Linked DNA regions of Danio rerio. The protein of the gene in region 1 purifies or fractionates together with the protein of each later gene. This does not show direct contact. Links are inferred from orthologs where the notes say so. Each region holds a gene or a part of one and is shown in the gene's direction. Other genes may lie near its edges.

What was found. Proteins that work in one complex are often made in the same cells at the same time.
Region 2: the proteins of tacc3 (region 1) and vaspb purify together in Homo sapiens (co-immunoprecipitation; 3 studies listed by BioGRID and IntAct, with this or other methods). This does not show direct contact. The link is inferred for Danio rerio from reciprocal best matches to the Homo sapiens genes TACC3 and VASP.

Annotation. Positions count from the first base shown.
Region 1 is NC_133188.1:39,349,043-39,356,832, reverse strand, and holds the start of tacc3 (transforming acidic coiled-coil-containing protein 3), read left to right. Parts: upstream 1-2,664; 5' UTR 2,665-2,781; intron 2,782-3,393; exon of another isoform or gene 3,394-3,511; intron 3,512-3,971; 5' UTR 3,972-3,972; coding exon 3,973-4,137; intron 4,138-4,515; coding exon 4,516-4,643; intron 4,644-5,212; coding exon 5,213-6,502; intron 6,503-7,231; coding exon 7,232-7,298; intron 7,299-7,377; coding exon 7,378-7,555; intron 7,556-7,647; coding exon 7,648-7,709; intron 7,710-7,790. Other genes in the region: mfsd2aa (sodium-dependent lysophosphatidylcholine symporter 1-A), read right to left, coding at 844-927, 2,220-2,279. UniProt on the Homo sapiens protein: Plays a role in the microtubule-dependent coupling of the nucleus and the centrosome. Involved in the processes that regulate centrosome-mediated interkinetic nuclear migration (INM) of neural progenitors.
Region 2 is NC_133193.1:43,703,193-43,710,454, reverse strand, and holds part of vaspb (vasodilator-stimulated phosphoprotein), read left to right. Parts: intron 1-3,620; coding exon 3,621-3,871; intron 3,872-7,262. UniProt on the Homo sapiens protein: Ena/VASP proteins are actin-associated proteins involved in a range of processes dependent on cytoskeleton remodeling and cell polarity such as axon guidance, lamellipodial and filopodial dynamics, platelet activation and cell migration.

The DNA of each region.
Region 1 (7,790 bases):
TAAAACCTACAGATTTATTTCTAACAAAACAACATGAACATAAATATTGCATTCAAAACATTTACTTTTAGATGAAAGTAAGTGAGATATGGGGGAAGGCCTAAATATATTTTTCTTTTTACACAGATTTAACTATAGATATGTTTACTGGAATTTTCCAATAATGATAATAATAATTTATAATAAATACATTTATACTTATAATACATAAAAGGTCAGTGTGTTCTGTATAATATTTAAATAAATGAATAAAATAGATAATGAGAAAATACTTGCTTTTTTACCATTTATGAGAAAACAGGTCATTATAACATCTATAAAATATCAGATCTTAAATATTGTAAACAAATGAATGAGCAAATACATTAAATAAATTATAAACAATTATTGTTATTACATTTTTATTCTAAACTGTGAAAGCACTACAAAAGATGTGCTCAGATTATTCTCAGACTGAAATACAATATGCAGAAAATGCATATGCAGATTATGTCTTAAAATAAATGAAATCACCTCGTCTGAGGACAGCCGATATCCGTAGCCTGTGTGTTTAATGTATGTGATGTAAGCTGAATGCAGGTCAGTAGTGCGGGGAGAGGGAGTCAATGCACTGACTGACCTCAGCACAAACATGCCTTTGTTATGTAACTCTCTCCTCTCCTCTACCCTGCCCCGCCCATTCTTCAGTGTGCTTTTTTGGTTTAGTCTTTGATTCTTTTATAAATGTTTTTGGCATACTAAATGAACATACAACCGCAATGCATTTCTAATATTTTTATGTATACAAGTCCATAAACATTCGCAAAGGCATATATATGCACGCATTGTTTTGTTTAAGCTTACCATACATGATCCCATAACAGTCTGGCACTCATTGAGGCATTGGATGTGATCCGATGCTGCCCTCTTGCGAAAAAAGGCAAGACACTGCAGGTGAAAAGGGTAAATAATTATTAATAGTTATCGCCATGCTTCCACAGCTGACTGAAAACATTAAGAATTGCAAAAATCATAAAGTTTGTATTACAAGTTTCTACAATGCTATATTTAAGTAGGCATGTATAATTAGTATTGATTATTCTGCATAAATTTCTAGCACAAAAACCTGAACACTGAATGATAATAGGTTCAAAATTTTTGATGCTTTTTTGGCATATTTAGAGTAAAAGGTTTTAACAGAAGGGAATTAAATCACTGCTTGATTCGGAAAATTCAGAATAAAAATCAACAAATTGGGTATAAACCTCTGTAAACATTTTATCTATATATGAATTTTATTACTTTCTATATTTATTAATATCGATAAGAACAAATCTGTATAAATCTGGAGTCCAAAAGTGATTAAAAATCATTCTGAGAAAAATTTGTATTGTAATTGAAATCTATGGAAACACTATAAACTTTTAAACGTGTTTTTTTTACGTTTAAATTTAAAAATTTCTCAAAATTGACAGGTACATCAAATGTATGCTTTTGCTTGCCATGACTGCTGGTAATGATTAAAAAAATGGGTAATTAAAGCTAGGTAAATCATAAAAAAAAGTTATTGTACCCACTATACTTTTTAAAAAGATAATTATGTTCATAATAATGCACAAAAACAGCAATAAACATATATATTTCAAGGCGTTTTACCAAATTCATGGTAAATGGTTTTTACCTTGTGAAAGAAATTTTGAGGATTCTTTTTTAAAATCACCACTTAATTCTAAAAAAATCACTTTTTGTAGAAGAAAATGGAGTATTTGTGATCAAACTAATTATGCATAAGCATGTGCCTCTGCAATCTTTTACCTTTATATTAATATTATTATTTTCTGTATGTATTAGCTTAGAAACTAATAAAACTGTAAAAACTTGCGTCCGTAAATGATGCTGAAGTGATTTTTGCATGACAAAAATATATTGAAATAAATATGCATTGTAATTGAAATCTATACAAACAATTTCTTTACAATACATTTTTTTAAATTCAAAACAACAAGTACATTGTCATTTAAATGACAAGTATATCACATGCATGTATTGCCATGTCTGATGGTAATAATAAAAAATAGTTATTATTAAAGCTTAAAAAAATGCATCAACAACAAAATGATTTAATGTATGCGTTGATTAACAGCAAATATATTATCAAAAACTAAAATTATAAAAGACAATTATGTCCATAACATGCACTGTTATTGCAATATGAAACGAAATTCATATTTAATACATACCCTGTTGCAAAGCTTGTCGTCACGTTCATTGTATGGAGAAAACATACAGTGAAAGTACATTGTGGTTCAAAACATCACTCTTCCCTGATAACTTTCCATTTTCAAGACAACTCAAAACTAAAGTATCATCTTCAGTACAGCGAAACACTGTAAACGAAAACAAAACAGTTATATCTAATATCTAAGCTACAACAACAGCAGTAGTTTACACTGTCAAATCTACACTTGTTTTCAACAAGTAAAAGGGTTAAATGAGGTTATTTATCTTCATAAACCGTCTGCGTCAACGGCTTACCCTATTGGCTGGTTTGGATGTCTGTCAAATGTATATCCTGTACAAAAGCGCAGATTGACGTGCGATGCTATTGGTCGATTCGTATAATCGCCCCGCCTGACGAGAGTTGATTCTTGCATTTAATTGGCTGAGAGTGCGCCGTTTAAATTTGAACCGTTTCAAACGGGGAAAGTTATAAATGCAACAACAACATCTCTATGCTGTGTGTCGAGCTGACTGTCTCTGCGAAGAAAACGGTTTTTATTAGATTTGAGCAGTTTGAATAAGGTACGTATTTTAGAAAACCGCCCCCGAGCCACGTTTATAGGATTGTAAGTTATTAATGCGCGATATGAAACCATAAAGGTAACTTAATCGCTTTGACTTTTTTGCTACGTGAGTGTTGCCAGAACGTCGAACATTCTGATGTAACGTTAACTTAATCCTGTTATTTTAAGATTGCGATAAGTGATTGTTAGCTATCCTTTATGTAACGTTAGAGATTTTTTTTCTGTTATAGTTAAATTTCTAAAGTTCGTATGGAAAGGGCATAAAAATGTAGAATTAACATTAAGTATGACGTTACGTGTAACTTATTGATTTTGAGCACTGTTGGAGATAACGTTAATTTATTTGCATTAAAAACTTTTTTTTAAATAAATAACAAATTCTATATTTATTTATTCATTCATGTATTCAATGTTGTTTTGTCATCCACGTGGGTATGTGAGCTGTTAGGCTAAATTCTGTCTTGCACTCAATTCTCTGGCTGTGCTAAACGTTATGTGGTTTATTTATATTTTTCCACTGAAGTGAGGGATTGATCTGATATCTCACTTTTGTTCAGGTTAAAATGTGATCATTTGATTTATGATAGTGAGCTGTTTATCACCTGTCCAGGTAAGCTGTAGGAGAGAGAAGCTGTCAGAAGTACCTGTCAAATACAAAGCTGACAATCATATTGTCAGGCCTACATAGTTGAGCAGAATCCAGGCAAGAACAGATAAGGCCAGAAGTGGTAATGATTTTGTTTTTTGATTTTGTTTGTCAATCTCTTCCTTGTTCCTACTTATTCTCACAAAAAAATCACAGTATCAGGGGATTGGCATAGTGTTTGATCATGATATATATATATATATATATATATATATATATATATATATATATATATATATATATATATATATATATATATATATATATATTTTTTTTTTTTTCTTTTCTTTTTTTTTTCACTAAAAAGAAGCACTTTGTTCCCTCAGCACAAGGCTAAATTGTCACTGGTTTGGGTTATTAGTCACAGTGGGTTAGTCTGAAAGGAGATGCAACAGATTTGAAGTGTCTCAGGACTAGGGTCTCTGGGTGTTGGGTCAGATGCCCGCCTCCGGGTCTTATCAGCAAAAGCAGCTGTTTATGGTGCCTGCTGGGCGTGACTTTCCAAAACCCATGTTGTCATTTTCTGTGTCTCTGTTTTACAGTATGAGTTCTGACGCGCTGAAGGAGAATCAGGGAGCTGTACGGATGAACAGCAATTCTGAATTCGCTTGTGACATTTTCATGTTGGATCAGCCGACTGGCAGACCCTCGATTTTGCGGCAGTCGCAGGCTGACAACATTAACAGGACTGCTCCTAGAGCAGCAAAGGTGGGCTTGACAAATTTCCATGCAGTATTTTTTCTGTACTGTATAATGTGTAATAAAATCACTGGTTATAAACCAAGTGTTTTCCATTTTAAAAAGTAACTTGTTCCTTTGACTGTAAATTTACCTTTTCTATAGACACTTTCTTTAGTGTCATATGAGCACATCTGAGTGACTTTTCAAGAAACAAAAACACTTATGAATGGCAGGTCGATTTTGTTGAAGCCATGCTACATTTTATTTTGGATTCTTTAATATTCACAAATGCAGTATTTATTTGTACTATTATAAATTTTATTTTGCATGTAATAATTGAACCCTTTCTTGGCCTTGTACTACAGCTTAGACTAACCTGCACGTTACTTAATTTCTCTTATATAGGTTTGTTTTCAAACCCCACGGCGAGATCCAGTGACAAAGAAGATCATGTCTCCAAGCCGCACCAGTAGGCCGATCAGCCAGGATGATCACAAAAATGCACTAGAGACTCTCACAGGCCTTTCTGACCAGTGAGTAAATTACCTGCATCTCCAATTGTTCAGGACTGTTGATGACCATTTGTGTATTTGGTGTACCTTTTATTTATATTAATTTCCACCAAAGGCACTTCTTCGAACAGACCCAGAGACTTCTGGTGTAAAATGATGGGTAAAACATAATGATCCTGTTTCCAAATAATATTAACATGGGTTTTCAAAAATTTTGTCTGAAAGCTGTAAACTTGCTTGGGATGTATTCACGGTGAAAGGACATATTTCTTTCAAATCTTTCACAATATAATGATTCAACTTTATAATTGAATCCACATATCATGTTTGACCTGTGGTGCATGCTCAAATAGGATTCCTATTTGACATTACTTTTTCTTCTTGACTATTGTTGATGCCCACATTGCAAAACAATATTTCAGTGCTAAAACAATATTTTGTCAACTTTAATGTACCACTCTAATAGTACAAGGTATTCATAAGAAAACTAGGTTAAAGATTAATTTTTAAAATATTTTTATGTAAGCCTCTTAACCTGTTTTTAATGGACAAATATGCTAACGTGTAAAACCTCCTTTTGTGTTTTTCAGGAGTTCATTGATGAATAACACTCACACCACACCAATTGACATAGAATGTAACAGTGTTGCTTTACCTGATGATGACATGCCTGTTCAGAGCAGAGGGGCCTATTCCTTTGATCTTGACAATATTGATGCCATCAACCCTTTCCAGGGCTCCAATAAAATGGCGAATTCCCCACCTAAATCTTCTGCTTTTACGGAGGCGGCAACATCAGAGCTTGTAGAGTCTAACACAACCATAGCCCCTGTTTCTGCACCCCAGGTAGAGGTAGAGACAGAGGCAGAAGTGACTGACAGTGCATTTGAAGAAGCTGTCCCATCAGTGGAGAATTCCCTTGCAGAATGCTCTGCCAACATCTCATCGACAGAGGGCAACGTAGCCCCTGTTCTTGCACCTCAGGCTGAAGTTCCAGAGGTGACTGAAAGTGCACTTGATGAGACTCTCCCATTTGTGCCATCAGTGGAGAATTCCCTTGCAGAATGCTCGGCCAACCTCTCTTCAGCAGAGGGCACAGTCATCCTCAAGACTGAGAATATTGAAAACAGCACCAATGAAACAGAGGAGACTGAGATCACTGACCCAGTGGCAGAGCCACAGCAGATTCCTGTTTTTGAGGGTCAACCCGAGGCACAGGACTTGCCACTACCTTCTGCAGGATCTTACAAGTTGGATTTTGACAACCTTGAAATGCTCAACCCATTCCAAACTGGTGGGTCAAAGATCCCCAACTCTCCTCCAACCAAAACATCAACAGTTTTTGACCCACCCCTGCTAAGCCACGAACCTGAACAAGAGCTATCAGTCCAGACAGATATCCCAACATCCTCCGATCCATCCATAACACCTCAGGAGAACTCCACTGCCACAGAGAGTTCCTCATCTACAACTGCCCCAAAGGAGAGCCAGATGCTATTAGAGTTTAATTTTGATGATGGAGCTGAAGTTAAACGCAAACCTCCTCCAAAACGCCTTGGGGTCAAAAGACCTGTTGGTGCAAAACCTGTGCCCAAAAAAACAGATGCACCAGTCACAGAGAAAAAAGATGCAGAACCCAAGCAGATGTCTCCTACAAGCCCAGAGGAGACCCAACCTGTGGATATTCCTTCTGCTAAAGGTTCTTACACTTTTGATTTTGAACAATTTGATAACCCAAACTTTAACCCCTTTGGCACAAAGGCTATGATGGGAAACTCACCACCACGTGGGGTCCAGACCAGTCCAGTTTTGAAGAAAGCACAATCTCCTGTTAAGCAACTTGAGACACTTCCTGCGCAGGATGACCAACCTGAGCAACGGTACGTACACCGCATACACAAAACGCTGAACATTTCTTATCTGCACAAGCTAATAATGGCCTGATTCTACTAAATAGCATGGTTTTGAAAGTACGGTTTCATATTTAACTGTAATTCCACCGTCAAAAGTATTAAAGCAGTAAACAATACCATGTTACTTTTTTGGCACTCTTTCCTAGTACCTAGTGCAACAGTACGGTACCGAATGGATTTACAGATGATTATAATATCGAAAATTTAAAAACAAAAAAATACAGCTGAGACGCATGACACCATATTAATATGATACTAGATTGTTTTGATCTTGTTGCAATTAAATTCCAAGAAGCAAAGACCAAATCTGCTGCCTCTATTGTTTGAGTCTGTCCAAAAGGGTGCTGTTTTCTTTGCATGCACGTCTATATTTGAAATTAATTTGAGTTTGCCAAAAGTGCAACAACGACCTGAAAGGCTTTCTTTTTTGGTATTTTGATGGTTGAAATGCAAGCTTGGTCAAGGTGACTCCTACTGAAGAGTACCAGTCCATTCTGCTAAGTGTAAATGAGGCCTAAAGCTCCATATCAGATTCTATTGCTCAAAAGCAGTGTATGTTGCTAGCTACCTCATTTTATTCTAAGGGGATGCATGAACTTATTAATTGCACCCTGAATGCTTTCAAATTCTATTTGTATAAACGCATTTAGCAAATAAGAACGAGCTCCATTGATTTGTATTTTGTCCCCCCTCCAGATCTCCCCAGGTAGTTTCTGAAAGCAAGGAAAATATGGTAGAAGCGAATCTTCCTGAGACTAAAGAGGTAAATATTTTTTAAATGCAACAATTCAAAGTCTTTTTCATCAAAGATTGACATTGTTCAACACTCATTCTTTTACAAGCTGGCAGAAGATGTTGAGTCATCAATGGCTGTATCTCACACTGACAAACCCCAGAATCCAGCGGTGCCGGAACGAGATTTCATGGCAGTACCAGAATCTATTGCAGATATTCAAAATCAGACCTGTGATCTTGGTGTGGCAGCATCAAATGAAGATGAATTTGTGCCTGGTGCTTTGTGTGAGTAAACAAATTTGCAATCTTGTTCAATACATGCTTTCAAATTTTGATTGCAAAATGTATATCATTTTATACATTTTTTTTCTCCTCAGTCATGCCAGGAGGAGATTTTGATGGACAGATTGACTATCTGGAGCAGTTTGGATCGAGCAATGTGAGCGTTTTTGATTATCAGCCTTTCTATAGAGTTTGAGTTTATTTTGCTAAATACAGTAGCAGCAGACTACTGATTTAC
Region 2 (7,262 bases), on another chromosome or scaffold:
AGTAATGGTTACTGTGTATGTTTAAGAGCCATGAACCTACCCCCGATTCGAAAAGTGAGTCAGTCCATGATTGTTTTGGTGATAGGGTTGAGTGGCAAAAAAAGGAATGGTTTGCATTATAAGGGGAGTTTCAGTTTGAGCACATGCTGATTTTTAGAGGCAAATCAACACAGGGAGAAAAAGAACAGGGGAGAAAGACAGTGACTGTGTTTACATGGACATCAGTAATCAATTTATTTGCCAAATTATTAATTTTTGTGACCTAATCTAAAGTAAGGACTATTTAAGCTTTGTAAGTCCGTTATGAATGACAATTAAAGGCTTAGTATTAATACAATACATGTGTGCAATCTTATCTAAAAATAAAATTACTGTAAAGTTTAAACATTGCTGAATAACAAGAGTGTTACAATACAATTAGAAATAAATACAAATAAATAAAATTGGATAAAATAACAACAATATAATATTTTAACAATTATTATTATGCAACATTTCAATGTTATTTAGCGAAGTTTAAACTGTACAGTAGTTTTATTTTAGATAAGCTTGCAAAGATTTATTTTTCATTTGATTCAGTTTCGTTTGTGTGTCTTCAAAGGAATAAAAATGAATAAAGTCGTTTATTTTCTTTTTCCTGTTTAGAATAGAACTGAGCCTTTAATTGTAATTTATAAGGGATTTACAAAGCATAATTAGTCTTCACTTTAGATTAGGTTATAATAACTGGATGAAGTTGAGTTAATAAAGCATTTATTAGCATACTAATGAACTATTATATGCCTGAATAATAAGATATATGAATGTTAATTTGAATAGTTTATTAATCATTTACTTACACATTATGAATGATCTTAAAATATCAACTATTATTAAATATGTAGTTTGTAAATAATACAATACTTAATAATACAAATAATCATTAACAAAGTATAAAAATACAATCATTCAGCTCAGTGCACATGTGTTTATAAGTCAGAAATACAGCTTTTTTATCTGCAGTTATAAACTGCTTCCTAACGTCTACTGTAGAGTTAATGCTTAACGAATTATGAATTAACATTTTGCTAATGCTTAACAAATGATTCATAGTGTGTAGTTAGTATAAAGAGTTACTAAAAAAATCAAACTGTGAATTTTACCATTTGCTCTTTAAAATGAACACAACTCAAATAACTAGTTCTAAAAATCTATTTGTTTTATAGGCTTATTTTGTTTAAATATGATACTGTTAATAATTGTGGTTAATCATAATGTGTATACACTTAAGAATATGTTAATATTATATTTGCCCATAGCTTGAGATTCACAGATGTTCTCTTTTATTGATGCCTACATACTGCATTATGTGACCTTGATATCTGCTTCAAACACTCAGCTCATTACCCGCACCATAATTATGTAACCAAACCAGACAGTTTTTTTTTCAGACTGCTAAAAATAGCAGTAAAAGTCACTTTGTTCAACTTTTTGAAGATCACGCTCCCATGATGCAATCTGAAAATGTAAATGAATGGAAAACATCCATGAATCACTGTTAATTAAATAGACAGTTAACCCAAAAATAAATAAAAAAAATCCATCATTCGCTCATCCTTCGCTTATTCAAAATCTATTTGAGTTTCTTTCTTCTGTTGATCACAAAAGAAGATATTTAGAAAAATCCTGGTTTCTTAAACCAGGGGTTCCCAAACTTTTCAGCCTGCAACCCCCAAAATAAAAATGCCAGTGACTTGAAACCCCCAATATCCTCTGAGGTGGTTATAAATACAGAAACCTTGCATGCAATGGTGCGCACACACCAATAGGCCCAAGTGTATTCTTAATTTTTTTTCTGTATGTGAGTGCTGTAAATGTGTCAAAGTTTAATCTGGTGCCCTAAAATCAGTCTGCTGCATCTGATGCTATTGCTGTGTCTTTAATATAACCTAATCACTGCAGGGGTCGCAATCCAATAGAACTATAAGCTACTGCAGTAAGTAAATGGTATATAGTAACTGTAAACTTCTATTTTTGTCTTCAGTAGGATATGGGTAAAATATGGTAATTCTAATAGTTTAATAAAATGAATTAGGTTTTTGGAAATCACCAAGCGACCCCATCCCCTCTTTCATTGTTCCGACCCCCACTTTGGGAACCACTGGCTTAAGCCTGATTTATACTTTCGTCTGGCACCGTGTCACGGACCTCCACTGACTGCGGGCTCACCTCACGAAATGGACAAGGTTTTTATACTTGACGTGTTAGCCAAACAGGGCATCAGTTTATTGTAAACCGAAAGGTTCAAATATTCCTTTCCTGTTATCAAAGTAATAATTTGTTCCTTAATAATAGTTTTGTAACTAATAAATTGTTTTAAATTCAAAATTGTAATATACATCAGTGTTAAACCCTTCAATGGTGGGAAAAATACATTCTTTAATTGTGTACATGGGTCTCCGCATCCTCTTTTGGCTTTAACAAACTTATCCCATGGGTTTTTCCAAAATTTTTAACAAAAACTTTTTTTCCTCTCACACAGCTGCTGCAATTTCTAGCCAATAATTATCGGTCATCTAGTTCTCCCTATGATCAGGCAGTCGTACAGTACCCGCTTCAGACAAAATCTCTTCAAAGTGTTTCATACTCAACTCAAATCAAACGCAGAGCCGCGCACACTGTTCGCTCGAGTCTCAAAAAAAATCATGCGCTCAGCCAGCCGAAATCATGTGGCGCACACCCAAAATGAACCTCCGCAAACACATCGATGAGGTCACATTTGCCGCGCACACTCAAGCGAACTAGCCAATGCGTTGAGTATAAACCAGACTATAAACCCATTGACTTCTATAATAACTCTGTTTCCCATTATGGAAGTCGTTGGGCTAGCAGCATTCTTCAGAATATCTTCGTTTGTGATCAACAGAAGAGAAAACTCATGAAGGTTTAAGGGGGAATAAATTATGAGGTAATTTTTCATTTTTAACTAGTATATTTTTATACTGATGTTAAATCGTACTAAATGTTTACTATTTTAGAATTATTTTTTTAGCTTTGCCATTAAACTGAATAGGGGGTCAAATGTTTTGGGTATCCTTTCACAAGCTTCTCACAATAGTTTGCTGGAATTTTGGCCCTTTCCTCCTGACAGAATTGGTGAAACTGAGTCAGATTTGTTGGCTGTCTTGCTCACACATGCTTTTTCAACTCTGCCCACACATTTTGAGATCAGGGCTTCGTGATGGCCTCTCCAAAACTTTCACTGTTGTTCTTAAAGCATGTTTTAACTAATTTGGCAGTATGCTTAGGGTCATGGTTATAGTGTTCTTTCTTCATGATGTTACGTGTTCAAGATGTTAAATAATTAAATGGATGAAACGTAACAATCAGTGAGTCGATTGATGCTGGGAATAAATTATGAGGTAATTTTTCATTTTTAACTAGTATATTTTCCTATTGTACATTTTACTGTGCTTTTTTGGGATGAGTAGTTTTCCCTAAGCAAAGAAATTCAAGTACATAATCTTTTTGTCTTTTTAAATACCTTTTTGTCCTAATTGTATTAATTTCATCTGGTTGGTTTGGTTATTATTTGAAACACTGTAGCTCAGTGAACGTTTTCTGTTTTTCTTTTTCTGTAGTTGTGATTCCTCCAGCGCCGCCTTTGGCCCCTGGAGGCCCTCCAGCTCCCCCGGGACCCCCACCTCCCCCTGGACCCCCTCCATCTGGACCTCCTCCACCACCTGGGCCTCCGCCTTCAGGAGGAGGAGCTCCACCGCCTCCTGCTCCACCACTGCCCTCTTCTGGAGGAAGTGATGGGGGTGGAGGACCTGGTGGTGGTGGTGGTCTCGCTGCTGCTCTGGCAGCTGCCAAACTTCGCAAAGTGCCCAAGGTGAGATTATTCACAAAAAGAGGATAGTTGCATCCCAAATGACACTTTATGCACTTATAGACTCAGCCATGTAGTGTATGAGTATCTATTGCCATTAAACTGAATAGGGGGTCAAATATTTTGGGTATCCTTTCACAAGCTTCTCACAATAGTTTGCTGGAATTTTGGCCCTTTCCTCCTGACAGAATTGGTGAAACTGAGTCAGATTTGTTGGCTGTCTTGCTCACACATGCTTTTTCAACTCTGCCCACACATTTTCTATAGGATTGAGATCAGGGCTTCGTGATGGCCTCTCCAAAACTTTCACTGTTGTTCTTAAAGCATATTTTAACTATTTTGGCAGTATGCTTAGGGTCATGGTTATAGTGTTCTTTCTTCATGATGTTACGTGTTTAAGATGTTAAATAATTAAATGGATAAAACGTAACAATCAGTGAGTCGATTGATGCTGGATAAATGAGGAGAAGACACAGACGCTTGATAAGTGAAACAAAAAGTAAGTATTTATTAATGGATAATGTCAAACAATGAATATGAAATGTTAGGTAAATGTAATTTATAAATAAATAAAGAAAATAAATAAAGAAAACAGGAGTGTTGCCAAAACAAAGAAATAAATATAACAGAATGATCTAACTAAACCCCAACCCACTAAACTGATTGATCAAAGAAAAATGCAGAAACAAAACCGTAATCTTCAGCACGTAGCTTAACTAAACTTCATAACTTCAAAACATAATTACACATGTGGCAACGCCTCCATAAACTAACTAATATAGAATTATACTAAGCTGCTCGCATTACTAGAATTCTCGCAAAGTACACACTGTTAGCCATTAGCAAAACAAGATCTCAGGTAATCCAATTCTCATAAAGATCATTCAAATTCTCACTAGACAATAAACTGAGCAGCACAAGTTTATCTAATAATCAATCTGTCACTAAAGAGAAAACTAGAACACAGCAAACGAAATCAAACTAAGCGAAACAAACAAGCGAACAGTCCGGTCGACACAAGTGAGGAGACTGGCAGTAAGCCAAGCGCTCCTCCAGAACAGCGCAAGCGCAGGGCTTTTATACTGCGCGGACCCAATCCTTATTGGCGCCGATTGAGTGACGAAGGTAATTGACAGCTCACTCTCGACCAATGGTAGCACACCTGAAACAGGATAGGACCACAACAAGAGAGAGTTAGAGATCAGAGCGCAAAACAGAAAAACAACAAAATACCACAAAACATACGTGAAACGTAACAATGATGCCATCTATTCTGTGAAGTGCACTAGTCCCTCCTGCAGAAAAAACAGCCCCACAACATGATGCTGTCACCCCCATACTTCACAGTTCTGATGTAAGCTTCACTCTTTGTCCTCCAAATGTAACTCTGGTCATTATAGCCAACCAGTTCAATATTAATTCAATCAGACCACAGAACGTGTCTCCAAAAATCAAAGTCTTTTTTCTAGTGTGATTTTGCAAATTGTAATCTGGCTTTTGTATGATGCTTTTGGAGTAATGGCTTTTTCCTTGCTGAGTGGCCTTTCAGCTCATATTGGTATTGACTCGTTTCACTGTGTATAATATAACTCTCTTACCAGCTTCAGCCAGCATTTCACAACATCTTTTGCGTTTGTTCTGGGGTTAATACACATAGTTTGCACCATAGCGCGTTCATCTCTGGGACACAGAATCCTTCTCCTTCCTGAGCGGTATGATGGCTGGACATTCCCATATACTTGAGTAAAATTGTTTGAATGTGGTACCTTCAGGCATCTATAAATTGTACCCAAAGAACAACCAGATTTTTGGAGGTCCGATTCTCATCCTGATGTCTTGGCTGATTTTTTTGATTTTCCCCTGTTGTGACGCAAGGAAGCAGTGTGTTTGAGGTTTTCCTAAATACTAATCTACAGTTGTGCCTCCAATTAACTGAAATGTTGTCAATAAGCCAATCAGAAACTTTCAAAACCTTAACATCACCATCTGGGCTTGTTCAGGGGCATAATAATCTTATGTAAAACTTTGACTTTCAAGAAAATTACTCAAAAAAAATTCTCAAAAACTTTCTCTGATTGTTCTGCCATTAAGCAAGTAGAAACAATTTTAGTGATCCTAACTTACCTAAAAGAGAAAAAGTTTAGTCACATTTAACATCTGACATTTTATTTTTTAATTCTTATGTGCGTTTTTATATAGTGTATGTAAACTTTTGGTTTTAACTGTAGTAACTGCGGTGGGTATAACTTCATTCACCATCGGGAAGCAACACAATCACTTACTGTGGGGGAAATAAGTATTGAACATGTCACAATTTTTCTCAGAAAACATATTTCTAAAAGTGCACAGTTGAAACTTTCCCCAGATGTTGCTAACAACCAAAGAAATCCACATATGCAAAGAAAACAAAACTAATTAGTTTACAAATGACGTTATGTGTAACAAAATGAAATGACGCAGAAGAAAAAGTATTGAACACATGAAGAAAGGGAGGTGTAGAAAGGCATTGAAGACCCAGACAGCAGCTGGCATCTCTCAGTAGTTCTTCAGCAACCCTCTGCCCTTCCTCATTGTAAAGTAATATTTGCTGCTTCAGTCCAACATCTACATTAGCAGGATGATTAAGATGAAACCAGGGTGGACATTTGAGCAAGACAATGATTCAAAACACAGCCAAGGAAACTCTCAAATGCTTTCAGAGAAAGAAAATCAAGCTGTAGAATGGCCCAGCCAATCACCTGACTTGAATCCAATAAAGAATACAAAATAAAGATCAGATTTAATCTGAAGTGTTCATCATTCCACACTTCTGTTTTATCAGTTGAATAAATGCATTATCCAGGTATTTAAAGTGCACTTAATCATTTTAGAATTTTCAGTGTGAATGCACTTCTTTCTTTTTACACTACAGAATAGTGCACAAGTAGGGATTTGGGACGCGTCTGATGTCTAGATGCGTCACTTTCTGACATGATGACTTTAAAAATACTTTTATTTTAGTAGATCATTTGTGCATTTCAAAATTTCTTATTTTATTGAATTTCTTATATAGATTCACATGTTATTTAGTGATGTTTCATCTAAAGGAACTGAAACAAATCACATGAAATAACAAGGTTAAAAAATAATCTATATACAGTGCTGGACAAAATTATTAAAACAACTTACAGATCCTAAAATATTGATGTTTTCCCTCTAAAACATGATTTAATTTCATATTATTCATGAAACATGCAGATGTTTGCACTGAGCACAGCAAATACCACTAATATTTGGTGTGTCCACCTTTTGACGGCATGTTTTTTTTGGCAGAGTGTCTGAGTATATTTTCAGCTCATGGACTCTAATGTTAATCTATGCCTTCTGGAGCTTAAGACAAAGGCTTTCCTTTTAA